4 linked regions of the Oreochromis niloticus genome follow. The protein of the gene in region 1 purifies or fractionates together with the protein of each later gene. This does not show direct contact. Links are inferred from orthologs where the notes say so. Each region holds a gene or a part of one and is shown in the gene's direction. Other genes may lie near its edges.

The links.
Region 2: the proteins of hsf1 (region 1) and prpf8 purify together in Homo sapiens (affinity purification with mass spectrometry; 3 studies listed by BioGRID). This does not show direct contact. The link is inferred for Oreochromis niloticus from reciprocal best matches to the Homo sapiens genes HSF1 and PRPF8.
Region 3: the proteins of hsf1 (region 1) and hnrnpd purify together in Homo sapiens (affinity purification with mass spectrometry; 3 studies listed by BioGRID, with this or other methods). This does not show direct contact. The link is inferred for Oreochromis niloticus from reciprocal best matches to the Homo sapiens genes HSF1 and HNRNPD.
Region 4: the proteins of hsf1 (region 1) and plk1 purify together in Homo sapiens (affinity purification with western blotting; 3 studies listed by BioGRID and IntAct, with this or other methods). This does not show direct contact. The link is inferred for Oreochromis niloticus from reciprocal best matches to the Homo sapiens genes HSF1 and PLK1.

What each region holds. Positions count from the first base shown.
Region 1 is NC_031985.2:36,095,578-36,102,959, reverse strand, and holds the start of hsf1 (heat shock factor protein 1), read left to right. Parts: upstream 1-4,198; 5' UTR 4,199-4,486; coding exon 4,487-4,606; intron 4,607-6,347; coding exon 6,348-6,456; intron 6,457-7,349; coding exon 7,350-7,382. UniProt on the Homo sapiens protein: Functions as a stress-inducible and DNA-binding transcription factor that plays a central role in the transcriptional activation of the heat shock response (HSR), leading to the expression of a large class of molecular chaperones, heat shock proteins (HSPs), that protect cells from cellular insult damage.
Region 2 is NC_031979.2:19,593,706-19,601,183, reverse strand, and holds the start of prpf8 (pre-mRNA-processing-splicing factor 8), read left to right. Parts: upstream 1-4,425; 5' UTR 4,426-4,637; intron 4,638-5,325; 5' UTR 5,326-5,334; coding exon 5,335-5,479; intron 5,480-5,595; coding exon 5,596-5,764; intron 5,765-5,870; coding exon 5,871-6,035; intron 6,036-6,133; coding exon 6,134-6,352; intron 6,353-6,457; coding exon 6,458-6,670; intron 6,671-6,869; coding exon 6,870-6,995; intron 6,996-7,160; coding exon 7,161-7,266; intron 7,267-7,478. UniProt on the Homo sapiens protein: Plays a role in pre-mRNA splicing as core component of precatalytic, catalytic and postcatalytic spliceosomal complexes, both of the predominant U2-type spliceosome and the minor U12-type spliceosome.
Region 3 is NC_031972.2:11,790,141-11,798,133, reverse strand, and holds the start of hnrnpd (heterogeneous nuclear ribonucleoprotein D0), read left to right. Parts: upstream 1-4,911; 5' UTR 4,912-5,284; coding exon 5,285-5,451; intron 5,452-6,428; exon of another isoform or gene 6,429-6,458; intron 6,459-6,809; coding exon 6,810-6,978; intron 6,979-7,334; coding exon 7,335-7,496; intron 7,497-7,614; coding exon 7,615-7,746; intron 7,747-7,993. Other genes in the region: enoph1 (enolase-phosphatase E1), read left to right, coding at 434-517, 1,830-1,931, 2,224-2,426, 2,582-2,714, 2,925-3,048, 3,352-3,491. UniProt on the Homo sapiens protein: Binds with high affinity to RNA molecules that contain AU-rich elements (AREs) found within the 3'-UTR of many proto-oncogenes and cytokine mRNAs.
Region 4 is NC_031971.2:12,088,716-12,096,902, forward strand, and holds the start of plk1 (serine/threonine-protein kinase PLK1), read left to right. Parts: upstream 1-5,176; 5' UTR 5,177-5,473; intron 5,474-5,565; 5' UTR 5,566-5,581; coding exon 5,582-5,944; intron 5,945-6,269; coding exon 6,270-6,438; intron 6,439-6,638; coding exon 6,639-6,783; intron 6,784-7,031; coding exon 7,032-7,125; intron 7,126-7,235; coding exon 7,236-7,461; intron 7,462-7,592; coding exon 7,593-7,635; intron 7,636-7,745; coding exon 7,746-7,843; intron 7,844-7,949; coding exon 7,950-8,027; intron 8,028-8,187. Other genes in the region: GTP-binding protein Rhes-like, read left to right, coding at 869-1,519. UniProt on the Homo sapiens protein: Serine/threonine-protein kinase that performs several important functions throughout M phase of the cell cycle, including the regulation of centrosome maturation and spindle assembly, the removal of cohesins from chromosome arms, the inactivation of anaphase-promoting complex/cyclosome (APC/C) inhibitors, and the regulation of mitotic exit and cytokinesis.

The sequences.
Region 1 (7,382 bases):
CTAACAGATACATATCCAACAACATTAGACTTGTTCTTGACCTCTTTGATTATGCAGATTTTTGTAGGGTTGATAGCTTTATCTTATTTTTAGATTTCTGTAAAGCATTCAATACTATTGAACATAGTTTTATTTTTCAGGCTTTGGACAAATGTGGTTTTGGCCCTTACTTTCAGAATGTTATTAAAACGATGTACAAAAATGCTAATTGTTCCATCAAATTTCATACAGGTACGTCCTTTAGGTTTAAGTTGAACCGTAGTATCAGGCAAGGCTGCCCCATCTCCCTATATCTGTTTCTCATCTGTGCTCAGCTCCTCTCTGACTATATTAAACTTAGTCCCATGAAAGGCATTAGAATTGCAGAAAAGAAATATTCATTAGTCAGCTTGCTGATGATACCACCCTCTTTTTAAAAAGTGCTTCACAGATGCAGATAGCCATTAACACAATTGATGCTTTTTCTGTAGCTTCAGAACTCCACTTAAAGATCGGTAACTGTGAACTGCTTGCCCTCAGAAACTGTACCAGTCCCTCTATTGCTGGCATTCCAGTGACAGAGTACATCACTTACTTGGTATCCTCATTAATAAAAATCAGCCAACATCAATTTGGAACTTTATTCCAAATTTAAAAAAAATAAAAATTGGCGATCTTAACTTTGTTTTACTTACAATATTGATAAAATCCCCTTAAAACTGTCCAACTTTCATAAACAGATGCGTCTTTCCTGGTTGTTACTTTATAAACACAACTTTTCTCTGCGCAGATACTATATTTGGAATGACAGAGACATTTTATACAAACACAAATCTTTATTTATAGGTGACTGGTTTGTTCATGGGATTCATCTTGTTGCGGAACTTCTTAATCCAAATGGAGCTTTACTTTCTTAGATATCTATCTCTCTGTCTCTCTGTCTCTGTCGCTCTCTGTCTCTCTCTCTACATATATATATATGTATATATATATATATATATATATATATATATATATATATATATATATATATATATATATATATATGTGTGTGTGTGTGTGTGTGTGTATGATCTGACCCCTCTACCACTGATCCTGCTGTTACCTCTGTTAGACAGATCTGTTTTCCCAAAACAACCCAACTACTGGGACCTGGAATGGAAGAAAATTTGGACCATACCACTGAAATTCCTGTTAACCAAAAAAGTAAAAGAAATATCTTTAAAATAAAATATTCATCGTTTTTAACCCACCAGAACTTGTACGATATAAAAAGACATTGATGCTAACTGTTCATTTTTTCACTGTCAGAAAAAGATATTTCTCTCTTATTTTGGTCCTACTTATGCGCTAATCTTTTCTGGCAAGATGTTTGTGCTTTTGTTGTTTCTTTTATCTTATCTTTGTTACGGAAAAATATTGTTTGGCTTTTTTGATTGCCCTGCAAATAGGGCAAACAAATTTCATTTGATTAATTTACTAATCTTAAAATTTCATATACATAAATCCAAAATTTCTAATGCAAAACCGTCTTTTCAATGCTTCATAAATGAAACCAGACAATATTTTAAAACTATACAACATTCCCATAATATAAAAGCAATAAAACTATAAATTTATGCTCCTTGTTTGGTATCTTGTGATTCAAACCCTAGCCCAGAGGTTCCCAAAGTGTGGGGCCCGCCCCCTAGGGGGGGCGCAGAGCCATTGCAGGGGGAGCGCGGTATGAAAATAAACAAAGGTAGGTCTCCCCAGGGGCCCGTTCTTCGTACCTCGCTTACTACATCCAAGATCAAATGACACATCCAAGATCAAATCATCGCGCTAACTTTGAGCTCGCTAATCCGGTTCTCCGAACGCACCTGTTGTTGACGATTAGTATAGCTGGCTGAAGTAATCTGAGATCACTGGGTGGCTTTAAAGGGGCTACGCATCGATAGTAGAAACATTGATCGGCAACCCTGTGATTGGTCGGCGAAGATGTCGAAGGAGCGCGCGCAGTATCTCACGGCAGCAGAGCAAGAACTCTTGATTGAGGGATAGCAGGAGTTTCAGAGTTTAATTAAAACGCAGGGGAACACTGCAAAGGCTGCAAAAGCAAGGAGAGAGGGCTGGCAGAAAGTTGCTGACAAATTAAACTCGTAAGTGATCCGTGATATTACATTATATCATGTGATATTATATTATACCACAGTATATTATATTACATCATATCCTCTTTCACATTAGAGCCACAACAGGACCCACTAGAACATGGGAAAAAGTAAAAGTGAAATATAAGAATATTCTACAGAATGGTAATATTTATCACTTATATTGCTTTTAGTCTATGACAAGAGACCCTGGAATAATCTGTTTGTTTATAACAGCAACCAAGAAAAGGGCAGAGCAAATAAAGACAGGTGGTGGTCCTGCACCCCCTCGTCACACCCCTTTTTGTACTGTGACATTTATTGACATTGTGGGTTTTTATGTGTGTAGTTTGAATAACACTCCATCACTTTTACCTGTTCCCATGCAAGGGGTGACTGAAGCATGCACAGTAAGTCGGGAGTAAGTATATATATAGATATATATATATCTATATATATATATATAGAGGGAGAGAGAGAGAGAGAGAAAGGGGGAGGAAGAAAGTAAATAATACCCTCACGGGAGAATCGATATCTCTCTATGAGCACACCGTCGCGCTGAGCTAAAGGATCCCGTCTATCCCGCAATATACGCTAAATTCTGTAAACTCTCCTTATCAATCTTGCACCTTCCTTGCTCGCGTACAAACGGACAGGACATGGCTGCGACAGACTTCCCAAATCCACTTTCGCTTTTTTAGCCGTGGTCTGTCATCTTGATTGCACGTAGTAATTTACTATTACTACTCTAAAATATGAATTACATCTGACATGATCTACTACATGTAATAGAATGGTTAATAGTACATTTCCCTTTTTTTCGGAAATGACCTGTATGTATCTGTATGCAATCAATAAAAGAATCAAATGCTGCATTATCTTTAGTTACATTGATAATATTTATTTATGGTAAAACAGTGGAGAAATGTCGCTCTTGCTTTCATAAAACTGCAGCGGACATACCTGAGTGGCCGCGATCTAATCCTGTTTACATAAAGTAAACCTGCTCCCGAGCAGGCTTACTCTTACGGATCTGTTGCTATGACAGCAAGTCCCAGATGAGCTTCGGAGAACCGAACGATCCAAGATCACGCGAAATCGTCAACATTCAAATCCGGCTAACTTACTTAGCGAGGTACGAAGAACGGGCCCCTGCAGAATTGGTTTTCCCTGCGTCGGGAGCAGCGCTGGGCTCTCCAAATCACGGACAAACAGTATCCCACATTCTTGATTTTTAGTTCAGGAACACTTCTTGTAATAACTAACTACTCCTGACATTTTGGACATGTTAGCTCTTTATACAGTAAAGTTACAGTGGGATACAAATAATATCAGGCTGATCCTGCCACAGTTTGTTCCCCCTGTCCAAATCACGGACAAACAGTATCCCACAGCTGTTTATGTTTTTGAACCCATTTTGCACAGAGAGGCATTTTTGAAAAATGTATTGATAGCAATGTTGAATATTATTACACAGGAAAAAAACAACTACACGTAAAATAATTACACCATGACGCCTCTGCCTTTCTAAATGGAGGGACAGTAACTGCGTGTGTATATGTAAGTGTGTAAAACCTGAAGATAGAGACAAAATACTGTTACTGTTAATCTTACTATCTGCCATTCTGCAATTCATCTCATCTAAACAATAACGTGGCGCACACCGTGATGTGAAAAAAGGCACATACCTTTGACGTTGCGTGATGAACTCTGTATTCCTCGTCCACACGTAAACGCAAAAACGGAGTTTTAAAAAATCTCCGTTTTCAGTGATTCGAAACGCCGTTTACGTGCCGACGAAAGGCCCAAACGCATAGAAACAGCTGCGTTTTCAAAAATACCCATGTAGGTATGAACGTAGCGTAAAAGAGTTACTAGTGTATTTTATTTTATTTTATTTTATTTTATTACTACCTGTAATTTATCGCAGGATGTATTTGTGCGGTGGTGGTGGGGGGGTGTCTAATTGTTATTACACGACCACCCCTGACATTGTCTTTTGCTCATTTAAATCTGTAATGTCTGAATTGCTAATGAAGCTTAAAATAAAAAATAAAATCCGCCTTACTGCTCATCACATCACAGCGCGACAGAACGTTAGGGTTACGTATTGTGCTTACGCCATCAGACCGCGCTGGGCAGCTATCTGCGCAGTTGTGTTTTATCGGATTTGCGGAGTTATCGCGGCTCTAAGTGAAATAAAGTTCGGCACGTCTGTTTGCAGCCCCGCGGGGAGCTCTGAGTTCAGCAGCGGGACCAAACCGGCGCGGTCCGAGTCAGATCGGGGACCCGAGTCGTAGTTCGTTGTTTTCTTTCTGACGCAGCTAGCTGTTAGCGTCGTTAGCTCAGGTGTGTGCTCGATTTTTGTCTCTCAGATGGAATATCCCGGAGGAGGGGGAGCGGTGCTGAGCAGCGGGAACGTCCCGGCCTTCCTGACCAAATTGTGGACCCTGGTGGAGGACCCGGACACCGACCCGCTCATCTGTTGGAGTCCGGTACGCACGATAACAGCTAACAGCTAACGCAGACAAGTTTAATTTTATTTACACAGCAGAAACAGACACAACTTTATTTAAACTGGAATGTAGACAAGTTTGTTGACAAACTTTATTTACTGACTAAAAAAAAGAGGTCAGCTCAGTTAGCTTAGCTTCAGTGAGCTATTAAGGCTAACAGAGCTCACGTCAGAGGTCAAACGATATCAGACATCATCAGCTAGTCGGTAAATTATCAGTTGACAGTTGTTTTTCTGACAAACTGATTCCAGCAGCTGTTTTGGAGGTTGGCATAAAGCCTGAATTCAAATAAGCTGATGACTGCCTATGATGTCACTGTAGTGTCATAGCCCACACCTTGTACAGCTGCAGGTGTTAATTTCAGGTTGCACTGAAATCGGTCACTTATCACCAAAAGGTCTCCATCTTTATTTTCCTAATTTTTTTTTTTTGTTTGTTTATTTGTTTTTTTTTATTGCATAACTATTAGGCTCCACCCACAGCTGAAGGTCATGTAACACCAGATTAAAGAAGTGTCTGAAGTGTAATTTCCAAGTGTAGTTTAAAAAGGAAAATGCACCTTTAATCCATGGTTTTCATTACTGCGACACGCCCACCTGGAGGGCAAAAACAGTACTGCGGTCCTTTTCTCTCCACCTCCCTTTGAACGTCTTCTAGTTTAACTAGAAACCAAAATGCCAGATAGTTGCTGGGCTATCGGATGCAGTAATCAACATTTATTTACAACTGCCAACTGGCATTGGAAAAAGTTTTTTCTATTTCTTTTCCATATGGGCTGCCACCCACTCCAAATGTCCACCTAAGTGGACATGTAAAAAAACTATTTGAAAAATACATGTTTAAGAAATGAAGTTCAAAGATCTTTTTTTCATGCCTAAAGATGAATAAAAATACTTAAGAAAAAAATCCTGATTGAGGTTGTCATAATTCATGCATGAAAGGGTTAAGCTAGCTATGTAGCACTTACTTTTGCTTTAACAACAAACACTTTCTTGTTCTTCACCTCCTCCTTTAAATGAAGCTGCCACGGCAGGATATGGATCACAAGTCCCCCAAATTAATGGTTTCTCTTTATATCTTTATTTGGATCCATGGAAGAAAAACAAAGAGTTCACTTTCATCTGCAGTGTGTTCTGACAGTTCTGTTTAATCTATACTGATGTATAGATTACTGAGTTCCAATCAGTAATCTATACATCAGTGCCTGATGTGCAGGTGCAAAAAACCCTGAAAGTGTTAAAATAATCAATAAATTTTGAGCTGCTCAGAAACAGTCTGCTGGAGAGCAGACAGCTGAGATTAAAGTGTTAGCAGTGTGCTCTGATTTTCAGATCTGTTCCTGGAGATTCCTGAGCGTAAGAGCGTATATAGTCTCTTTTTATCAGTTGATTATAAGGTAAATGCAATGGTTCTTATACATTCCTTAATACTCAAGTACTCAAAGTGCTTTATACCCCATGTCTCATTCACACACATTCATACACTTTTTTTCAACCTGCGTGCTTTCTGTCTAACAGTCACAAGCTAATGAACGCATCAAAGAGGACCCTGAGCTCAGGGTTCAATATGTTGCCCAAGGGTACTTTGCCATCCAGAATGGAGCAGCCAGGGATTAAACCACCAACCTTCTGATTAACAGATGACCTGCTTTGCATCTTGAATCACAGCCACCACAATAATACAGATTCTTCTTCTTTTTTTCTTTCTCTTGTTGTATAAGAGTGGTACCAGTTTCCATGTGTTCGACCAGGGGCGGTTTTCCAAAGAAGTTCTGCCAAAGTTCTTCAAGCACAACAACATGGCCTCTTTCATCCGCCAACTCAACATGTGTGAGTAACCAGCAAGGAATCATCAGTGTGTTAGCCCCACCTCTGAACAAGCTATCGTTCAGAGGTGGGGCTATCACTATTTGGCAGTGTAACAGAAGGTTAGATGTTTTTGTTATTGATTTATTTTTTGGGAAAGAAGATTCATCCAATCAGGCGTGCTTTGTGAAGAAACATTGAGATATAAGTCAAATGTCTGGTGTTTAGCGGCTTTTCTTTGCTGCCGTAATTGTCATAGCAGCAACAACCAGTCCTCACAAGGCAAGGTAGCCTGCAGTTAACATAGCAGTTAATGAGCTAAGCCAGTGGTCCCCAACCTTTTTTGCGCCACAGACTATTTTATGTCCGACAATATTTTCACGGACTGGCCTTTAAGGTGTCGCGGATAAATACAACAAATAAAACGAGTATCAGTACCAAAAAAAAAGAACATTTATTCATAACACACAGGAAAAGACCCAGGGAAACAGAGTTACCGATAAAAACAGATAAAAACCCTGAAAACCATAAATTTCACACCCGAGCCTCAACTCTCATGGTCCGATACTGGTCTGTGCCCCGTAGGTTGGGAACCGCTGAGCTAAGCTACCGGTTTGTGTATATCAAGCTGATCAGTCATCACGACGATCTTTGTGCATGAGCAGCTTCTTTTTCTCCATGTCACTGAAGAAGTGCTAGTTGATTGGTATGCTGAAAAGCTGAACTTTTCTCAACATTCAGCAGAACCCTCTTTAAAAAAAGTAGGATAGAAAAAAAGGACCGGCCCACCTGTGCATGCTATACCTCTGTCACTGTGCATGCAAAGGCTTCTGGACTATGGAAGAACCAGAAAGAGGAGCTGTGATATTAGCGAGTATCCACATCCATTATTCATGGTGTAATGGTATTTCTCCCAGATGGTTTCCGTAAGGTGGTGCACATTGAGCAGG
Region 2 (7,478 bases), on another chromosome or scaffold:
AGCGATACTACTGTGAACCGAGGAGCTATTGTCTTGATGTGAGCTTCTACTAAGGGTTTTTTCTTCCAGTTCAGAGCAGGAATGTTTTTGTTAATAAACTGGCTGTTGTTTTTTTTTCCCCCACAATTTTAATTATAAGCTAGATATATTTCTACTAATGGAATTAGTTTGCTAACAGCAACAGGGATGAGTCAGTGAGTCAGCTGCGCTTGTGAATCATGATTCACGAGTCAGTAAAGTGATTCTCGAGTATTGAACGATTCGTTCACGAATCGAACATCACTAAAGTGGAGTGAAACCACGTAATGACAACGTGGAGATGTGAGCAGGACAGACGGAACAATTGACGGAAAAAGTGTGGACTTTATACCAGTTCTTAAATTGTGTTGATAGGCCACGTAAAACCAGAGTTATGATAAAAATATATGCAATGTTTGCTTTTTTTCCCTGAATACTATCGTTGTTTATATTTACTGCGGGAAGAAACGGTAAAAATGGCGTTTTATAAGGAAAACGCTCGAAAGGACTCTCCACCTGTGAGCAAAACCAAAAAAAACCCACCCTTTTCTATTGGTCGAAAAATGTACCGTGTCAACCAATTAAAAAATGATATGGCAACATGGCATTTATTGTTATGAAGGGGGGAAGTTTTAGGAGTGACGACAGTGTTTTGAGATGTGAGAGATTTGCGACGTTTAGCGCAAATCTTGTGTAGTTAGTGTGTAGTAAATGTTAAATGGCCTGTATTTGTATAGCGCTTTACTAGTCCCTAAGGACCCCAAAGCGCTTTACACAACCAGTCATCCACCCATTCACACTACACATTCACACACTGTGTGTAGTGTAGTCAATTGTTTTGTTGTGTGTGTCAGAACAATGAGGCGACTGCCGAATGTTACAGGTGTTACAGGAGTGATACATCCTGTTATCAGGCCTGCGGGTATCAGGCTGTTGTTCTCCTTTATCTCATAGTGGACAGAAATTGTTTTTTGCAGTGGCACAAATAATTTGTATGGCATCAAATTTGATGCAGAACAGCTGATTGTTCTGTAAATAGTTTGAAATGTTTATTTTTTAAAAAAAAATGCCCTGGCTGCATTTTTAGGTAAACAGCTGCAAAAAACTTTGTTGTTTGCGCAACACTTGTGTAACTATATAATTAATTGCCCAACATTGGTCATTATATACTGTATTTTGCAGACAGAGAGTTACAGGACTCTCTCCCAGACCATAGACTCATACTCATCATACAAGTCAGAGCTTTATATAAAAAAAGAAAAGAAAGAAAGTTGAGTTTTCAAGGCCACTGGATATTTGAAATTGCTACATGATGATGTCAAAGGAGTTTGCAAAGAAAAGCGTCTGGACTTCTTTAAGTTGCTTGAAGACGTTTCACCTCTCATCCGAGAAGCTTCTTCAGTTCTAAGGTCAAATGGCCGAGAGTCATGATGACATGATGATGTGTTTCCCTTTTTGTGCACTGAAGCTGGCACGTTCCCTGAGTTTTTCCAGCAAGATGGTGCACCACCGCATTATGGGTGCCAGGTCCGAGCATTCCTAGATGAACAGTTTCCTGGAAAGTGGATTGGTTGTCGTGGGCCAGTTGAATGGCCCCCAAGGTCTCCTGATCTGAGCCCCTTAGACTTTTATCTTTGGGGTCATCTGAAGGCAATTGTCTATGGTGTGAAGATACGAGATGTGCAGCACCTGAAACTACGGATACTGGATGCCTGTGCTGGCATTTCTCCTGCGGTGTTGCCAGTGGCGTGTCCAGCGGGCCACCCCCCCAACCAGACTGGCCACCCCAGGTGCCACCCCGAAGCTAAAACAATAAAATTCAATGAAATGTCAAATGTACGATTATGTTTTCACAGTGAAGCTCAGATATCCAAGTGTAAGTGAATGCAGCATCAGCTTCTGCGCTATGAGCATCATGTTAGCAAAGGTAGGAGAGCCAAGCATGAAAGACGGCACCGCAGAAAACAATTTTTCAGCGAAAGATTAACAGGTTAACATAGCTGGACTGGCCATCGAGCATATCGGGCATTTGCACGGTGGGCTGATGACTTATTTATTTTTTTTGTAATGAACAATGAGAGGTGGTGGATTGGCCAGATGCTGGCCGATGTGTAAAAATAACTTGTTGTTTGGTGGTGGCTATGGCGGAGCTTCCACAGAGGCCAGCAGGTGGATGAGGGAAGGGGAGGCAGGAGGAGGAGAGACCCGAGGCAGCCGCCGGTCCGAGTGTCAGGTGAACTGAACTTCAGGTAAGAAGTTATGACCTGCAGTCTATCTGGTTCAGATATAAACCAAGTTTAGGTGGAGTTTATTTTCGTTGTGCTGACTTTTTACAGTCAGTTACAAAAACTCTTACTGCGTGCTAGCTAGCATGGCGGAGTTTCTATACAGCTGGGTGGGTGCTGTGATGTTACTGATAGTGAACTTTATTTTATTCATAAGGTTAGTTAGTAGAGTTGCCAACAGCTCCTTAAACATGGAATGGTCCCTCATTCAGAGAAAATATTATACGTTTCGTATTGAGCTGAGAAGAAACACAGTTTGTCCCGGACTTCAGCAATAATGAAAAAAAGACACAAAGCTGGAGTTATTCTGTCTTTACGCTGCACAGCTGCCTCTTCTCTCATTCTCTCCCCTCTCTCCTGTTGCTACTTCAATCATGAAACTGATCAATGATCAGCTGATCGGCTTTTCTCTCGTGTTTGTTTATCGCCCACTTTGCACCAGAAAGAGGAAACCGGCGTATGTCGCGCTAAACAACAGCAGCACATTTAAGCTTGATCAGCTGTTGATAGAATTTATTTAATATTAATTTCTAGTATCAGCTGATGTTTGCTGGAGCCACAGCTGTAAAATCTGCTGGTCATGATATCGGTTTGGATATGAGGTGAGAGGGAAACATGAAGATGAAACCAGGAGATGTCCTTACTGAATCATCAGAGCTGAACAGGTGATGGAGAAACAGGTTTACCTTTTAGGTGACATGAATGAGTTGAAGGGAAGTTATGAACTGTTTCTGAGAGACCAATAACACCAGGATCCTTTTCTGTGTAGCTGACAGCTGGTAACTGTGCAGAGGCGGGTCTAGCAAAGTTATGCCAGGGGGCCAGGTAGGGCATTAACAGGGAAAGGGGGGCACAAAGAAATACTTTTCTTTCTTATTCTCATTTAAAATATCTAGCTTTTATTAAATAATTATCTGAATCTTGCGAACAAAGTTTTTATCTGACGTAAAATGTATAGAAATCATACATATACCAACAAGACTTTACATCACTGTCACAACAGCATTTGTTTTCATTCAAAGGCTTTATGGCTTTAATACCCGGTGGGCCGGTCTCTGGTCAAAATGCCCAATTTTTTGTCCCAGTCCAGCCCTGCAGGTTAATACTGGCCGTGTCACCATGCCAGCTGACTGTATTTCATCATCAGCCAGTGTTGTTCTTTATACATCAATATTACCAAAGTTTACCATAAGGCAGCATAGAAAGTATTTACTTGCTTTCAGGTTTCATTCAAAAGTTAGTCTTTTCATTTGTTTCCCCACTTTTTTCCTGTTTCAAAATCAAACACCAGTTTGTGAGAAGATTATCTTCTTTTTTTAATAGGCAGATAAAGTTTTGCATTGGCATTGGCTAATTTGCCAATTGTATGTTAAAAATGTTCGTATTTTAATATTCAAAAATGTTTTTGCCCAAAACATATGTGCACTATATTTCCATAAAAATACTATGCAAATATTGCTGTCCTTGAATGCTGAATAAACAATGACAAAGCACTTATTGTATCTCTTGTACTTTATCAACGCAATATCTAAAAACTTTGCACTATAGTGGTTAAAATCTCATTCTAATAAGAGTTAAAAGCGCATTCGGTTATTAGGTTTATAGGGTTATTGAATTATGGTTAACGGTTGGTAGAAAGTTCTTTTTTAACATTATCTGCCAATTACATCTGCCACCCTTCTCCAAATCTGTACCCCTACCTGGCCCCCCCCAACAAAAATTTTCTAGACACGCCACTGTTACCTGCTATGTGACGTCTGGTCTGGCAGGCTCTTGTGTTTGTAGTCCCTATGGAGTCCCTAGGAGTACAAGGGGCAAAAAGGAAATGACAAAAGAAATAAATGACCTCATGTCAGAAATAAAACAAGAAGCAAATAACTGTAATGAAATACTTTGAATGTGATTAAATAATACAACACATCAGCAAATCATGTTTTTGTTTAAGCCACAAACTTTACAGGACTCAGTATATGATCGCTGACGATCGCACTCCAACACTGCAGGGGGCAGTAGTGCGCCGGAAACATGATCATCCGGGTATTCTCAAAAATTGCGCTTGTTTAACGTCTACGCATATTTTCTGACGTAAAGCAGATTCTTTACCGGTGGAGAGAAATATCGGACGTAACCGCCGTCTGTGAATAGTACTGAAGCTCGTTCATCGTGTGTCCGCTGTCGTGCGTCGTGCGTTTATGCAGTTTTGTGTTAGCGCACATCAGCCCAACACTGAGGCGGAAAAACACGGAGAATAAGAAAGAAATGTTGTGCTAGCTGACTGTGTGCGGATTAAGGCTTTATCCAACGATAAGAAACGCTGGGAGTGAAGTAAGCGAGGTACGTGTTGTTGAATGCATTCTGTTATCGCTTAGTTTTACCTCTCACTCAATCGTTAGCCACCGTGCTAGCTTTAGCAGTTGGCTAAGTTGCCGCTTCCTCCACGCTTGGCCTAATTAATAACTAGTGTTGCAGTGTGAATTACAATGTGTTACATGTAACATAATGTAGCCATTTATGAATGATATCCCGAGTTTACGCTGTTTCTGAACGGGCTAACGACAGTTAAACGCGGGTAAAGTTCGCCTTGCTGTTGCAGTTTTGTGCCATCCGGGAGGCCATGTTAGGCTAACGTAGCTAGCTCATCAACTATGAGCACGAAGATGTTGAAGCTACACAGATTAGTTAATGTGCAATAAATGCATTTTCTACCGAATTAAGAAGCTACTTATTATTTTTGAAAGGCATTTTTCTCCAAGGCCATTCTATTTTCCAGAGCTTGCAAGGCATTAAGCACACACGTTCACTTTGTGGCTTCTGTTATTTAATCTGTGGGTTGCAGGAGCCAGACAAGGAATTCATGTGCCAATGTAATAAGTTTCTGATCAGTCTTTGTTTCAGTTAAGTTAAGTGTAAGTTGGCTTGTTTGACATGTAAAGCCTCTCTCCTCAGGGTTTTCATTATATACAGTTATAATCAAAAATCTCACTTATTTTCATACCTTGTTTTGTGTCTTTGTTTTGGATAGTGAGGCACCATGGCAGCTGCCTTTCCTTACAGAGGCGTCCCTGCAGCGATGCCACCCGGTGTGCCACCAGGGGTACCACCTGCTGTGCCGCCTGGTGTGCCCCCTCCTGCACCTGTCCCAGACTACATGTCTGAGGAGAAATTACAAGAGAAGGGTATGTTGTTTGTATTGACTAAAGCAGGACTTCCATGTTTTGAGCTTTTAGCGAAGAAGTTTTCACAAATAGACAAGATTAACTTCGCGATTATTAAATGTCTTTCAACTCTACAGCAAGAAAATGGCAGCAGTTACAGGCAAAGCGCTACTCAGAAAAGAGAAAGTTTGGGTTTGTGGATGCTCAGAAAGAAGATATGCCACCTGAACATGTCCGCAAGATCATCAGGGACCATGGAGACATGACCAATAGAAAGTTTCGCCATGACAAGAGGGTCTACCTTGGGTAAAGATGACTCCTTTAACTCTTTTTAAAAGTCTTAACAAAAGTCGGTGTGTTTTCTTCTTGATAACATCTTCATATGTGCGTTCTGTGTCTGTCTGTTGAACAGTGCCCTCAAGTACATGCCCCATGCAGTGCTGAAGCTGTTGGAAAACATGCCAATGCCTTGGGAACAGATTCGAGATGTGCCCGTGCTTTATCACATCACTGGAGCCATTTCCTTTGTCAATGAAATTCCTTGGGTCATTGAGCCAGTCTACATTTCACAGTGGGGGTAAGGGAGAGTTTCTACTGCTGAAAACTTTCAAGCCAACTGTGCTCATTTCCATTCAATAAAACTTCAATTTGTCTCTTTCCCGATTTTAATCCCAGCACCATGTGGATCATGATGCGTCGTGAGAAAAGAGATCGTCGGCACTTCAAAAGAATGCGCTTTCCACCCTTTGATGATGAGGAGCCGCCACTGGACTACGCTGACAACATTCTTGATGTGGAACCCTTGGAGGCCATTCAGATGGAGCTTGATCCGGAGGAAGATGCTTCAGTTGTGGACTGGTTCTATGAACATCAGCCCCTCAAGGACACAGCCAAGTAAGCAGCCATGGCTCTCTTCACAGACAAAGATTTTAAGTTTTGCATATTCAACTGATGTGTTGCTTGAAACATTAATTGATGATTTATCTTTGTCTTGCTCAGGTTTGTGAATGGCACCACCTATCGTCGCTGGCAGTTCACACTGCCCATGATGTCCACACTGTACCGTCTGGCCAATCAGCTTCTGACAGATCTGGTTGATAGAAACTACTTCTATCTGTTTGACCTGAAGGCTTTCTTCACATCCAAGGCTTTAAACATGGCCATCCCTGGAGGGCCAAAGTTTGAGCCGTTGGTCAGAGACATCAACCTCCAGTATGTTCTTTCACCCTTTTAAAAAATGAATATTCTAAAGACTTACTGTTATTAATGTTAATAAAGTTTTTATAGTTTCGCTTTCAGAATTTAAATATTTCTTGGAAATTATTTGATATTGCTGTTTTAATCCAAACATAACGTGAGAACAGATGCTGGCTGTTTTGTGTCCTAACTGGTTCCTCTGTATCCTCTGTAGGGATGAAGACTGGAACGAGTTCAACGACATCAACAAAATCATCATCCGACAGCCCATCAGGACAGAGTACAAAATCGCCTTCCCCTACCTGTACAACAATTTGCCGCACCACGTCCACCTCACCTGGTGAGAACTGCTGTTTACTTGAAATGCTGGCTGACTGAAAAATCCTTTTTCATTCAAGACAGGAGAGACATTCATCACTTATAAACATCATAGATTTGCTGCATTATTTTTCATAATGGCTATATAAAAGCAACACTTGTGATGTTTTTGTTTTGTTTTCCCCAGGTACCACACACCAAATGTGGTTTTTATCAAAACAGAAGATCCCGATCTTCCCGCATTTTACTTTGACCCGCTGATCAACCCCATTTCACACAGACATTCTGTTAAGGTAATGCACATTATCTACTTATCTCCCTTTGGTGAATAACACCCTGCATCACAGTCCTCTTACAAAGGCGCACTTGCATTGGACTGCTTGCCCGTGCGTAAGAACTGGAGGAATAGTAAAATGAATGGTGACTTGTTATTATTGGCTGCAGCTGCAGATCACCTTTCACCATTCAGATATCTCTTCTAGTTATTTTATAGTTTGTTGAATTC
Region 3 (7,993 bases), on another chromosome or scaffold:
CCTGTTGTCATAAATGTTAACCAATACATAATACCTAATGCAAAATATGCTTTCATTTAATAAAATGGCACAGACAAGTAAAGTGGGTGTTGGAATATAGATTTTAAATAATGTTTTAAACAAATAAACTCTTCTTGTTGTTTTACTTGTTGTTCATTATTAAGGTACCGCCACCTACTGGCGTGGAGTCTGAACTGACGGAGCTGGCCATGTGTGCATATTACTGCCCTGTGTGTTAGCTGTGAAGTGATAGCTAGTTAGTGGTTTACCACCAGATAGATTTGTTAGCGCATGCATAATCTGTGGTCTGCTTGATCTGTTAGTCTTGTAGAAACAGCGAGGACCGGGTACAGCCTGGTTCTTCCACCGCGGTGCTGCTAATTAGTAAGCTAACGTCAGCTAACAAGAGCAGCTGCAGACTCACCCAGTAAAAATGGCCACTGTTTCTATTCCTGCCTGCACTAGTGCCCTGCTGCTCGACATTGAAGGCACCACCACACCGATTACATTTGTGAAGGTAAGCAGCGTGAAATGCAAACAAAGTCTGCACGTCCGGTTGTGCGGCTATGCTAACAGCTGCCTGTCACCGGTAGCACATAGCTAAACCAACAGAACTTCACAGCGTCTCTCTATCGCCTGAATGTAATGCAATTTTATTGTTTTGCTTCTACAACTGTCTGCTTTTGTCCTTTTATTGTTTCGTCCATATTTGCTTTATATAACCAGAAATGCCGTTTGACAACGAACACACCTAACGCTGCGTTTATGTCACACAAGAAGTGTTGTAATTAGCAGTTTCATGTAATTTTTTTTTTACTTTTATGGAAGCCTCTTTGCTTTGTGTCTTAGAAACACAAAGCATGCGTTAGAAACAGACATAGACATGTGGAGTCAGGCCAGTTTTCTAATTACTGTTTAGCGTCACGATGTAAGTATGCAGCTGTTGGAAGTCAGTAATGTGGAGGTCAATTCCCGCTCTAGATCATTCCACACGGCGTGAAGAAACATGACAGTTTATTACGGTTCGGCGGTGGCAGTGTGTTGGTAATCAGTGGGCAGCTATGGACAGTCCGCCTACCTGCAGACGGTCCACACCGTCTGTCCACTGTCCATACACTATCTGTGTGTTGCCAAATGGAGGCAGTGTGCTACTCTTGCTTGTGCTGTTGTTGGTCCTTCAGCCTGATGTTAAGACCAAATGTTAAAACCAGTGGAAGGTGTCCTCTGTATTCGTCATACTTTTTTCTTCTTTTTCACTTAAATTTTTGCGTTTTGACGCATCTCCCATGCCTGGTAGTCTCCTGTTGCTCCTGATCATTGGTTTACCAGTCACCATTCACAATGCTCATCAACATTGAGCTACACACTGTTGGGTTTTTCAAGAACTGCATGGAAGCACATTTGCGTGGGTTAAAAAAACTCCTCTCTGGGTAGGCAAATGTCTATGCAAACGGACACAACAGCTGTACCATAAATGAAAGAAAAGGCTTTCAAAACAGGAATCAATAAAAATTGTTCTGTTAGTATTTTCTGACTAGAGGGTCTGAATTAGAGCCTAACTGATATATGTATGTCCTATATTGCCATCGGGGAAGTTGCAGAGTGCCCTCCGGTGGAGAAACTATGGACATCAGCACTGGTTGAAGGGTGTTTCTACCATCTCTTCTGTAGTTTCTGTTATTAAAATTTAACTTTATTGGCTGCTATAAATACAGATTGGCAGATAGGTGATATCGGTCTGCTGACAAATCACTCAGGCGTTAGTGTGGGTTTTATGTTTTGATTTTATTTTATTTTTCGCTGTCACATGTCCATATTTTCATTTCTAGGATATCCTTTTTCCGTACATCAAAGAGCATCTTGAGGATTACCTGTCCACTCACTGGGAAGAAGACGAGTGCAAACAAGATGTTCATCTACTAAAGAAACAGGTAGCTGGCAAACATGTTTTTAAGTGTGATTCCCTACTGGAAGAATGAAATCCAGGCTGTTACTCAGCCTGGCAGGAATGCAGCTTGTTATTTATCAGCAGCTAGTGAACAAAGGAGGGAAAACTTTTATTTGGGTACTGAAGAATTCTTATATTTTCATCTTCTATCCTTTATTTTCTGAATTGCTTGCCTTTTTTTTTGATGAATATTGTCGTCCCTGTTTTAATCCACCAAGTAAACCAGGGAACATGCCTTAGCGCTCTTTTAACAAAAAGGCTGACTGTCACGGCAGATTGAAGAGGACATGAAACAGAACCGGGCGTGTCCTGTGCACACTGTGGACCAGACAGTTCACACAGATGAGGAGAAGGCCATTAGGGAAGTAATAGAAAATGTTCTGTGGCAGATGGCGGCAGACAGGAAGTCCACAGCACTCAAACAGTTTCAGGGTCACATGTGGAGGGCAGCTTATGCATCTGGGAGAATCAAAGGCGAGTAAGTACACTGATCATTTTCCTCACTTTTAAAATTCATATGCGCTCTGCTCAGGTTTGGGTCATAATTTGGCTTGTTTGTCAGAGGTTGAGATAAAAAATAATAATAATATTAATAAGCTGCAGTTTTTTTTTTCCATCCCTTTTTAAAATCAGGGTCTATCAGGATGTAGTTCCATCCATCAGAACATGGAGAGCACGTGGCCTGAAAGTCTACATCTACTCCTCTGGAAGCGTGGAGGCACAGAAACTTCTATTTGGATACTCTGTTGAAGGAGATCTTCTAGAAGTATGTTCCCCTCTCCCACTTTAGTGCAAACACAACCTTTGCTTGCACATAGTTTCTATTTTCTTTTTCTTTTATTTATTTATTTCTTTTATAAGAAGGTTAAATTTTTTGTATTGGAGGGGCTGTACTTGGCTAAAACAAATTGTAAGCTCTTGTTGTTTATGTTATTGATATTGTCTAATCTGATGGTTTGATTTTTTTTCTTTTCAGTTATTTGACGGTCACTTTGACACCAGTATAGGGGCTAAAGTAGATGCAAAGAGCTATGAGAGAATTACAGAGAGGATCGGCTGTCAGCCTGAGGAAATCACATTCCTGACAGACGTCACCCGGGGTAAGTATGTTAGCAATGATAATATTCTGGGTTTGGTCTGCTAGTAAGATCACATCAAGACTACCAGGATGAATAGATCGGTGGGGGCGAAGGCAGTGATGGGCAAAGTGAGGCTTTGTGAAACACTGAAATGTTCAAAGTAGTCGTTTTGTGTTGAGGTTTTGAAACCGTCTGACACCCGTCTCCAAAGAGATTCCTATTGGCCACTTTTGTTTATTGTCACGTCTTGATAATAATATTCTGTTAAGGGCAAAAGACAACAGTGTACTTCCTTTTTTAATGTGACTGCATTTGTCATTGTAGAGGCCAAAGCTGCAGAAGAAGCCGGCATTAATGTTGTGGTGGTGGTCAGGCCTGGAAACATGGAGCTGACAGATGAGGAGAGGGCCCATTATAACCTCATTACCTCCTTTAGCCAACTTCAGCTTACAGGACATGCTTAACAAAGAGTTAACAAAGGATGACTTCGTGATGACCTCTCCTCTTTTTTTGCCCCCACCTTTTTTGCAATTCTAGTGTTTTATTGTTTTGTTTTCTTTCTTCCACATTGATGGGTGACGAGGGACTGGTGATGCTGCTGGGACTGCTGGCAATCAATGGGGCTGATCATGAAATTCCAGTCTTTAAAGGTGGCTCACTATGCAGTTCTTTCAGGATGCCTTTCTCATGAATAGAAACGGATGCACCAAGCATTATAGGAACACAAATGGGACGTCATTGTCATTGGACCATTTGATTGAATGGGAAGCTGTTGCTTTACATTTACAAGCCTGAAGGAAACTGCACATGACATGTGAGACTAGCTTTTTACCTTTTAGACGAACTGTATTTGACTGCCACTCTCCAAATGTATATGCGTGAACTGTATTTCTTAACCATTTTGTAAATGTTCATGTACCATTTTCCTTCCCCTCTACCCAAACAAATGTGTTGCAGACGTATGGAGTCCTGTACAGTTAGTGAACTGTCTCGTTTTAGAAAGTATAATTACAGTATAGATGCACTCAGCAGAATGAGAGTCTTCATTTGAAACTTTGTTTGAATGTCTTAATTAATCCCCTCACAGGTGAATGGTGTCTATTTAAATGTGCCATACTTGTTGTTCATTTGTAATGTTGATCTTGGGAAGTGAAAATACTGAAACATTGCCAGACTTTGTGTGAAACATTGTTGGTATTATTCAGGAAATTGACTTCTAATAAATGCCTTGTCTCCCCCAGAAGCCTGTCTTCTTCTTCAGTCCAAACTGTTTTAAAAAAGTGCTTTCAAATTGAACAGTAAGGATCACAAATGATAAAACCACAAAAAAGAAAGGAAAACAAAAAAACCCTTAAAGGTGCAATTTAAAACTGGTGCTTTGATAAGTAGCTTGTGTCAACATAACAGTGGTTCGTGCCAATAGGTAAGTGATTTTAACAATTTTTGCTCAAGATTAGTTAAAAAAATGACAAAAGTCTGGCTCCTTGGAAGAAAAATATAAATAAATGAGGGGTGAGACTTTTGCACAGTACTGTAGTCATTAAATTAAATTTTATGACTTAGATTCTGCATCTTATGATATTCTATAACATGCTGATGGGTGGGTTGGTTATTTGATTCATCAATCATGATGAATCTACTTTTTGTCTTTGGTGTATTATTGACCAAAGATTTGTTCAGAGTATAAATTACTAACTGAAAAATGTCTTTTACATAATTCTACTTTAGTATTTTTCTGTTTACTTTGCTCAGTTCCTTATTTTTGCCTCAATTACTTCCTCTTTTTCATCTGTAGTTTGCAAACTGCTCCACAAAAAAGAGGAAATTAAGCCGAAAATGTACTATTTGTTACATAAAGAGGGGGGCGGTCTAGCTTTCACGTCGGTTTGTCAGCCGGTTTTAACCGACGAAGAAGAAATGACGGCGACGAAAACAAAGCGACGCTCATAAGTCACCTCTCAATATTATCGTAACTCAACCTAATTTTTTTTTCATACCGAGCGGTGTTTTCTCCAATTTCATACTAACCCCACATTGGATTCACGTAACCTAACCAGTTAGCTTGTTCTAACTAGCGACAGACATTTTATTTAACAGCATATGATATCAAAATATTAGCCAGCTACTAGCCTGTCATCAGCTGACAGAAGCCAGACCGTTAGCTTAGCTCCAGCAGAGATATCTGACGTAGCTTGGATTTCAGAGCCCTTTAGGGGTGAAGCTTTAGTTTAAGACTTGTTCCAGAAAAAGCCGAAACATGTCGGATGATTATGAATTAAGCGACGACCCGAACATGATGAGAATGGAGGAGGATGGAGAGGCGAACAGTGACGACCCGATGTCAGCAGCGGGGGACTGTGGCCTTATGGGGGGCGAGGCCGAAGGATCAAGGATCGACGCCAGTAAAAACGAGGAGGATGAAGGGTATGGTGATGATGAAGGGTGGCTAGACTCAGGTTCACTGTTGATCTCTGTTGATAATCGAAAAGATGCTGTAGCTGCAGGACCGGATTTTTGCAGGACCTGGCATTGTTATTGTTGGGTACTACTTCTGCATTCATAAACTAAACATTACACTAGAACGATTTCCGAGGTGTTTGAGTGTTACCGGTTTGCTATTTTAAAAGCTTGGGTTTTAAAAGGATATGTTACACTAAAATAAGTGATATTTTCGAATATCATTTATTTTGAATATTTGTTATTATTTTCAGTTTTCTGTTAAGAAAAACAGCTTTGCCAGTTGTTCAGAAAATCAAAGTACAGATGCATGTACAGAGTATTGGTTTGTTATTGTGCTGTGGTGTGACAGAAGATGATGCCAAGAATAGGGTGAAGTATAGGCAGATTATCCGTTTTAACGACGCCTAATGGGAGCAGCAAAAAGAGGAAGATTGCGTTAGGTTACTATTCATGGATATTGGCTAATAATTAGCAAATGTTCAAGTGTTGGCAATATCAATCATTAGTGGAGCTAATGGTTCCAAAATTGTATGAAGAGCATACATTACAGTGCAGGATTTTTGTTTCCCTTTTTAGAAAAGGCTGAGAGTCACAGTGCTTTTATATCAACATGGTCACTGAATCCCTTAATTAAAAAGAATTAGAACAGGTTCAATTTAGGGAATATCTTAACATTTTTTCACTGCAGTTGTAAACAAAACCATCTTTCTTGCTAACTGGTTGGTTGCAGGTCTACAGTACTTCACTGGTGGATTTATATGCATGGTTTTCTCTGCAATAAAGTATTCTGATTCTGTTATAGAAAGGGGTTTCGGACTTCCACCATTTAAAAATCACCATCACTGTAAAATCACAAAACAATTACCCCCCGTTTTATGATTATAGTTGAATTTACTCAAGAATAAATACATTTCTCTTTATCAAATGGTCACAAACAACAGGAAGATGTTCACAGGCTTCTGTTAAGAAAGGTAACAGACTCTTTGCTCTATTTTAATATGGACAAAACATGTTTATATGTGAAGGCCCATTTTGATTTCGGAAAAACCATTGTATGTGTTCACATTTTGGATGCACATAAAAGATGAAATCAGGTCCTCATTAGTCACCTAATGAATGGAGGATCTGCTGTGTTTTGATATTGTATTGTCCGGATGTAAATTGATGATAAATTACTTATTAAGCAAGTTACATAGATTACTTCTAGCAAATGAGGGGACCTTTGAGCAGCCCAGCTGTTTAAAGAAGCTTGCATAGATGTCTTATAAAGTAGTCTGCACACATAGACACCACCTGCTTATTTTTGTGTGATTTGTCAACAGGAAGATGTTTGTTGGAGGCCTCAGCTGGGACACGACTAAGAAGGACCTGAAAGATTACTTTTCAAAGTTTGGGGAAGTTGTAGACTGCACGTTAAAGCTGGACCCCATGACTGGACGGTCAAGGGGTTTTGGGTTTGTGCTCTTCAAAGAACCTGAAAGTGTTGATAAGGTATTATCCTGTTCCCATAAGTGGATGTGTTTTTTTTAATTACCAGTGAATTTACTTTTCTAACAGACATGAACTTGCTGTGATTGTGCAGCTTCATGTCTGTGTGCGTGGGGGTTTTTTTCAGTTTTATTTAATGATTAGCAGAAAAAATTCATTTTTGGCCTTTTTGGCCTGTCATACAGACTTAAATTAGAATGAATGTAACTACAGTACTGCGAGGTTTATGAATAAAACATATAATAAAAGTTTGGTCTCAATGATGCCCAAACAATCAAACATCCATTCCGCTAAATCAAGATGAAAGATGAAATATTCACGTATGTAAATTTTTGTCAATTGTCTATATTGCTTTACAGGTTGCCTCACAGAAAGAACATAAACTTAATGGGAAGGTCATTGACCCCAAAAAAGCCAAGGCCATGAAGAGCAAGGAGCCAGTAAAGAAGATCTTTGTTGGTGGCCTCTCTCCGGACACTCCTGAAGAGAAAGTCAGAGAGTATTTTGGTGCCTTTGGAGAGGTTTGTGACTTATGAAAATTAGGTTTTGTTTTAAATCTCCTGATCTTTTTCCCCACTTGTTCTGTGTGGCTCTGCAGGGCTCCTATTTGCCCATTAAATTATGTCTTAATGTGAACAGGTGGAGTCCGTTGAGCTTCCCATGGAGAACAAAACAAACAAAAGGAGAGGCTTCTGTTTCATCACATTCAAGGAGGAGGAGCCAGTAAAGAAGATCATGGAAAAAAAGTACCACAATATTGGATTAAGCAAGGTACAGTCCCTTTTTTTTAACCTTAGGTCCTATATTATGTATTTTTATTTTTCAGAATTTTTTTATATGTAGAAAAAAGTCTGCGATACATATGTTGAAAAGCTGCGTGTCTTCTCTCACTCAGTCTCTCCCTAACTTCCTATCTCTACTACAACTAAATAAATGAATTATTAATACATTAATTAAAAAAAAAACTGCCAGTTTTTCCGAACTGAGGCCACTCTCATTGTCTTATCAAAGCAGCCAG
Region 4 (8,187 bases), on another chromosome or scaffold:
ATCACCGAGCAGAAGACGGTGCACACATTTAGTTGGGAAGGGGAAGATTTACTGGTTACAGACTCACTGTGGTCAAGTCTCAAGTTTGACCACTGAACCTGAAATGGGACTTCTATGCTTCTTTTAGATAGGAAAATCAAAATAACTTCTTCGCAGTTCAGAATCATCATTTATTTTATACTGGGCCTTGTAGCAGCCCCTTAATTCATCCTCTGTCAAGTAACAAGTTGCAGCTCCCTTCTAGCTTTCTTTTAGCCAGCTTTCTTCTGACTGGCCACCCTTTACAAACACAGGGTTTGATCAGCAGGTGGGGGTTCTGTGCTCACAGCTAGAGCTGTATTTCTGCTGGTGAGAAGTAGAGTGCTGCAAGAATTACATTTTACGAGGAGGATCCAGAATGGTATAGCATCCCCATTGTTCCATTAATAAAAGAGGGGATTCGGATCATTGCAGTAAATAAGCAAACACAATGGTGGGAAGTAAAAAGGCTAACCATGGGTTGTAAATTAACTAAAGCCTCGACAGACGCTTGTTATTGTATGCACACTGTTGTGAACTGTGTTGTGGAAATGATTTATGATATCCGGGTTCCTGTGAAATACACTGGCATTGAGTTCCATGACTCACAAACGCTGCAAACAAACGCACGTGTTCGACTCTTTCACACATGTTGACACAAGCGCTGAAAATACAGTAAATCCATAAATCACTTATGTTTCCATGCTGCCAAATCGGGTGTGCTCCGTGGCTTTCAGAGTCTGAACTTGAGCGATTTTGAGCGGAGAACGACCGGGTGGGGTTGTATCGGTGGAGCAGCCTATAAATAGCCTGGCTGCATGAAGCTGCATAAAGCTGCACGTGCACCGGGATGGCCGGGATGTCTCCGTCAGGGCGTCCGAACACGGTCCGGCTTGTGTTCCTGGGAGCAGCGGGGGTTGGCAAGACCGCGCTCATCCACCGATTCCTCCACGACGGATTCGAGCACAAGTACACGCGCACTGTCGAGGAGCTTCACGTGCTCGAGTATGACACCGCGGGCTCTGAGGAGAAGATGCGGCTGGAGATACTGGACACGAGCGGCAGCTACTCGTTCCCAGCTATGCGGGAGCTCTGCATCCGACACAGCGACGCCTTCGCCCTGGTGTACGCGGCAGACGAGCCTGGCTCCTTCGAGGAGGTGCGTCGACTGCGCGCCGAGATTCTGGAGCTGCGCGGCGGCGGCAGGAGCGCGCCCATCACCGTGGTCCGCAGCAAAGCGGATCTGACCGAGAGCGAAGGTCGAGCGCCGGTTGCCGGTGACGCCATGGCCACAGTGGAGGCTGAGTGGGGCGCAGACTTCGTGGAGGCGTCCGCGAGCACGGGCAGAAACGCGGTCGGGGTGTTTAGCTCGCTGCTGCAACAGGTGAACCTGCCGGCACAACTGAGCCCCGCGGCGTGGACACGCAGAGACACCGTGCCTAGGCCCCGAGCTAGGAAGAGACCCTCGCTGAAGAAGCACCACAGCTGTGTTCTGTCGTAGAAACAGCTGCAGCTGGACTGCGCCTGCTCAGTTTCACACCTGTTCATGGGTGAAGGCTCCTCGGGTCTTTAATGTGTCTGAAAGCCACGGGGCCTGTAATACTCATAGTTTACGGGCAGCAAACGGGATGATGCACTTTATTTGAGTCCTATTTTGTGTGTACATTTTTATATGGTGTCAGTAAAATAACTTTGTTCTAAAATGTGTCCGGTGCTTCATTTGTAAACTTTCCACTGGTCTTGGCACATCTGTAATAAGTCTGTCCATGCGTGGATCATAAAGTTAAACACCACTGTGCACAAATGTCTGATGGGCCCTAGAGCTTTTTTCTTTCTTCGATAATCAGAATCATACAGGATTGTGATGGTTCACATTCATACAGGAATCACACACTGGCGATGGCACCAGTGTGTGAATGTGTGTGTGAATGGGTGGATTACTGGATGTGTAAAGCGCTTTGGGGTCCTTAGGGACTAGTAAAGCGCTATACAAATACAGGCCATTTACCATTTTACCATTTAAAGTAACCATCAAAGGGAACGTTTTAGTTTTAAATATATAATGAAAATCCTGACTTTTTGCACACACACATGTTCTTTTTCTCCTCTTATTCCCTTTGTCTGTTTGGTGGTCTCCTCTTTTTCCTCCTTTCAGCACTACTACAGTCCCGCTCCCGGATGAGTGTTGAAACAGTAGAGTAGAGCCCAGAGAGCTTTAATGAGAAAAAACACTTTTGTGAGGTCCCCACTTAGAAAATTAGTAAACTTTTTTTTTGTCAATAAATAAGTGAATGAATAAATTAATGGATAAATGATCTTGTGAAGGCAGCCTCGCTCCTTAATTAAAATTAGAAAAAGGCAGGTCAAATACAAAATAAAACTACTGGATTTTACCAGTTATAATTAAAAAGAATATGTATATCTATGTTTTGTTAAAATAGGAGTAAAGTTTGAGATGATACAGTTCTGGTCTTTTTTTTTCTTTTTTTTCATTTCATCTTCTCTTGGATGGGCCCCCAAATATACACGGGCCCTGCGGACGTGCCCAGAATAGCAATTGGCAATTGGTCTGCTGATGCTGTTGTGATATGGTTTGATCTACTTTTTTAGAGAAAATGGACACTGAAAATCAGTTACAAATTACTGTGACTATTCAAATTTATCCTCTGAGAAAATATTTCTGATGGGAGTCTCTTCCATTTATTCCCAACTTCCCGGCATTCCAAGCTTTCCAAGATTTACATCTTAAAATTGTTCCTCTGAGTTATTAAATTGATGTACAAAGCCGATGCGCATATTTTTTCTTTTTCTGTAATAATGAACAACAACTGCCATTTTTGGCTTAGCGTGAGATGGTGCATCATAAAAATAGCTCCTTTCTTTGCTTGAAACTGTGTCGTGACGTTTTAGACACACACACAGACACTTATATGAAGTAGAACAAAGGGGCTAAGCAAACACACTGGTCTCATCATCTGTCCTCTCTTCATCCACTTGTTCTCCTCTTATTTTCCTCTCTTTATCACCATGTCAGTTGTATAATCTGTTGCTAAGCAGATATTAATTGTGTCTGCCACAAAAGCATTAATATGAATGAGGAGCAGAGGCCCATATAGCACACAAGGGCTAAAGAACAGAGGCTCCTGACAAGGATGATTCTGCAGCATTACACATCAAAAATTTCACACTATTGGAGTAAAAGCTTTTGTTTATCTTTTACCAAGAAGAGTGAACAACAGGAAAATTAAAGTTTGAATTACTTTATTTGTCAGCTGCACGTGCGCAGAATAAAAGAACACCTGTGCTCTTGGACAGTCTTCTCAGTAATTTAGATAAGGATCAGATCAATAAAAAAGAAAACCAATATACACATCTTATAAAACAAGATGATAAAAATACAGAATAAATAAAAGCACAATGATTCAAAATACATATAAACAGATGGGTGACAATGATGTGATTAAGAGAAATCTCTGAAACATGCCATGTGTGTTTGTCTTGGATGAAGATGAATCCCATTATTTTCATACTTGAGAAACAACTGAGTGCACTATGGACGGAGGCTGTGATGCTAGAAGAGACTATTTCCATCACAACAGAAATGTTTCATCAGGCCTGAGATGAACACTCATGACAGCTAAGCATAGATTTACAGTAACCTTTCTGGGCGAACAGAAACACACACACACACACACACACACACACACACACACACACACACACACACACACACACAGGATAAGTGATCCACCAGTGCACCTCACTGTAGGGGTGGAGGGTTCAGAGAATATTACAGCACTATATATAACGTTTATCAGCTTTTGTAACAATTAAGGTTTTTGTAAAGCCAACATACCTGTTTTTCTTATTTTTATTTTTTTTATTGAGAGTGATAATGATTGTCATTTACCAGAACTAGCATTAGTGGTAATTGTAGAAGCAGCAGGCTAGAAGTAAAAGGCATTACAGGCAATGACGCAGAGCAAGGCTGTAGCCATGGAGTCAAGACTGGGGTGAAGCAAAGGCCTGGGTGGTTGGTTGATCATGACGTACAAGGTGGACCATGTTTGCCACAAATTTTGTTTCCACTCCACACAATTCTGGATAATTCTTCTTTCCATAGTTACAATTTCAGTGAAAAATTATTTACATTGCCTTTTTCATGAATGCTCTGCCTGAAGTTAAGTCTAGTTGGTGTTGCAATGACAATCCCATCAATAATTGTGTGGAACCATAATATATCCTGAATGTACACAAAAGTTTTAATGAAACTAATGAAACACAGACATTGCACTGACTAACACTCATCATACTTGATCCAGAAAAGGTTTTAATGGAAATATGGTAACACTTTTTGAACAATCCATTCAAAGAAATTCAGTCCTTTGGCCCACTGTATAACTACAGCCTTCAACTACAGCAATCTGTTATGGTATTGATATCAACATATTTTTGCTTTTCAACATATTTTAATATTGGGACCGTATAAAGTTATAGCATTCGGGAAGTTATTGGATAGGATATAGGCGTGGCAGTGCCCCCTACTGGCTAAAAACAGTAATAAAAATAGGTTGTGTGTTTTACATAAATGTACAGTCTACATGTTGTAGCTGGTTAGAGTTAATTAAACTGGACAACCTCACGACTGATAATTACGAAAAGTAGTATTACAAGAGTAATAACGAAACAATTCTTACCGAAAACTAGTGAGGTCAGCGTATAAATAAGCAAAGGTTATTGCAGTGAAGTAAATCTACAAATTATACTGAGTCTCATATAAGTTAGCCTATAGACTGCTACCTCGACTAAACTAAATCGGTTACAACAATCCACGATGACGACTATTTATTCAGGGGTTTTAGTTAAAAAAAAGAAGAAGAAAAAGAAAACAATCAAATGACCATTAAATTCACGTTATCTACTTGGGTAAAAAAAAAAAAAGAAGAAGAAGAAAGAAAAAAAACGGACGTATGTCACGATTAAAGCCCACCCCGACTACATTTCCCATCAGTACTCGCTTAAAGGAAACAATAAGAAACCAACAACAGGGATTCAGCCAATAACAATGCAGAATGTGACGTACTCATTTAGTTATTGGCTATTTTTGCCTTAATCTCCCATGATGCTTTGCTGCAATACCTTAGAATTCAAATCGAGCGGACCAATCACAGAGCACCGTAACGACCGAGGCAGCATTTTAAACTTTTAGGAGAAACTGTTGTCAAAAGGCAGGACGGGTTAACGCTGTAGCCATCGACGGACAACTCTGGCGATTACTTTATTGAATATTTTCGTTTTTCAAAAAAGATTTATAGTCTAGTTGCACTGCGTTTTAATTGTCAATGCAATGTTTAAGTAAAAAAAGGCGTCTAAAGTGTATTAGAGCTAGTTTTTATTTAAATCCAGAAGTGCAGGGAGCACGCTAGCTTCCAAGGCCAAACTAACGTCAGTTAAGGTAGGGTTAACAATACTCTCTTTCTTGGGGTTTATCATTAATACCTCGATTGCGAAGGGGCTTTAAAACGTTTCTTTTTACTCCCGGCTAAGTGCACTTTAATCCAAAATGAGCGCTGGTGTTGCAAAGCCGGCGAACCCGATGCCGCACGTCGACCCAAAATCGGCCACTCTAAAAGAAATCCCTGATGTTCTGGTCGACCCACGCACCATGAGACGATACACGAGGGGGAGATTCCTCGGGAAAGGTGGATTTGCAAAATGCTACGAAATCACAGACGTGGAGACAAAGCAGGTTTTCGCCGGAAAGATCGTGCCCAAATCGCTGATCCTGAAGCAGCACCAGAGGGAGAAGATGACTTCGGAAATCTCCATTCACCAAAGCCTCAACCACCCCAACGTCGTGGGCTTCCACGGGTTCTTCGAGGACGATGATTTTGTGTTTGTCGTCCTGGAAATCTGCAGGAGAAGGGTGAGTGCAGAGAAAGTGTCCTTTCTGTTAACTGTGGACGGCCAACGGTTACCCTGGCGGTCTCTTCCCATGGCCTTCCCGTCACAGTGCAGGAAGCTTGGCCTGATTAAAACCACAGGAGCTCTGAACATAATTCAAATGAGCCACTATTCCTAAACTCAGTATTTTGATGGCATTAGTACTTTTTTAAAATCTTTTCTTTCCACACTGACATGGTTACCGTCAGATGTACTTGATTTTTGTTAAAAATGTGCCTCAGTACTGCCTCTCTGCTGCTTTACTGTCTCAGTGCCCCAGTTTCAAATCATTTTCTTCTCCACTTCAGTCCCTGCTGGAGTTGCACAAGCGTCGTAAGGCTGTCACAGAGCCCGAGGCCCGATACTACATGACTCAGCTGCTCAAGGGTGTCCAGTACCTGCACAACAACAAAGTGATCCACAGAGACCTGAAACTGGGCAACATCTTCCTCAACGACGACATGGACGTCAAGATAGGTAATTTGCTCAGCTCAGAATGATGGCAGGGGCTATAAATGTCAACTGGATATATTAGCAACCTCAAACTAACCTGCTGGTTTTACTAGAAAAGGCACACCCAGGTCCTTGCGTCAGTAATTTCTCATACTTCAAGAATGAACTTTTGCACACAAGTGTGCCTCTTTACAGTTATGTCCCCCTTTTTTCTTTTAAAACAGGGGATTTTGGCCTTGCCACAAAGATTGAGTTTGATGGTGAGCGGAAGAAGACCTTGTGTGGAACACCTAACTACATAGCTCCTGAAGTGCTCTGCAAGAAAGGCCACAGCTATGAAGTGGATGTCTGGTCACTTGGGTGTATATTGTAAGTCTAAATACACAAGCACACCTGGAAACGGAGGTGTTACGGCTGATGCCAATGCCAAGCTTTGCACATCTGCTCATGTTTAATTAGGGTTTTTTGTCTTTTTACAAAATGCAGCCCTATGAGTCCTAATGGTTTTATATTTTACCCCAAGAAATACTTCTAATGATGTATTAGAAAGTTAAAAGTTGTTTAAAAAACAAAAATCTGCACAGTCACTTTAACCTCCTTCTTGTCTGAATTCTCAGGTACACTTTGTTGGTGGGCAAGCCTCCATTTGAGACCTCCTGTCTGAAGGAGACCTACAACCGCATCAAGAAAAACAACTACACCATCCCCTGGGTGAGGCGGTTTAACACGATGCTCCTTTTTAAAGAAAAAAAAGTTTGTATACAAAGATGCTTTTTTTTGTTTAAGTCGTATCAACTTAAACGGCAATTGTCTTCGTGCAGCACATCAACCCAGCAGCGACCGCCCTCATCAAAAGGATGCTGCATGCCGATCCCACCCAGAGGCCCACCATTGCTGAGCTGCAAGCGGATGAGTTCATCACGTCCGGCTACATCCCCTTGCGCCTGCCCACGACTTGTCTCACGGTGCCCCCGCGGTTCTCTATTGCCCCTTCCACAAGTACCGAGCTCAGCCAGAGGCGCCCGTTGACAGCTATAAATAACAAAGGTAATCCTCCCAGCAGGACTAGAGTTGAAAGAAGCCCCAACTCTTCAGATGTTTAAAGCAAGGCTGAAATATTGGAGTTGAATTATTTTAGTGTTTGCAGGAATGTTAATGATACGGGTTTGTGTTTCCAGTAGGGACAGAGAAGGTGGAGATGAAGGACGAGCCTGCACCACGGTGAGATGTTTGTCCCACTTGAAATAATGGAAATATTTATAAAGGACAGGTTTGCTTTCTGTGACACATTTATGTATTTGGATGTTTTGACTGGTGTAATCTGCGTGTAGGGAGGTTGAACCGTCGGAGAACCACCTCAGAGACATGCTGCAGCAGCTCAACACCATCATTGCTGCCAAGCCTTCTGAGAAGGCAGTCGTCCGCCAAGGTGAGCGCTGACTTTTTATGACTGTGTTGTACATTTTATTAAGCTGGAAAATCTATGTGTCTGTGTCAGTGCTTCATACAGAGATGTTAATTCTTTTAATAAACAGAGGAGGCAGAGGATCCTGCATGCATCCCCATCTTCTGGATCAGCAAATGGGTGGACTACTCTGATAAATATGGACTGGGTAAGTATTAAACTTAGAGTCCACATCCATCCAGTTAGCTACACTTGAACGTTAAAAAAACAAAATAAAGGAAACACAACTGTGATATTGGCTCATTTATGAAGTTGGATCGATCAAGTATTTGTATTTTGGGGTCTAATAGTGAACTCTACAGAGAATT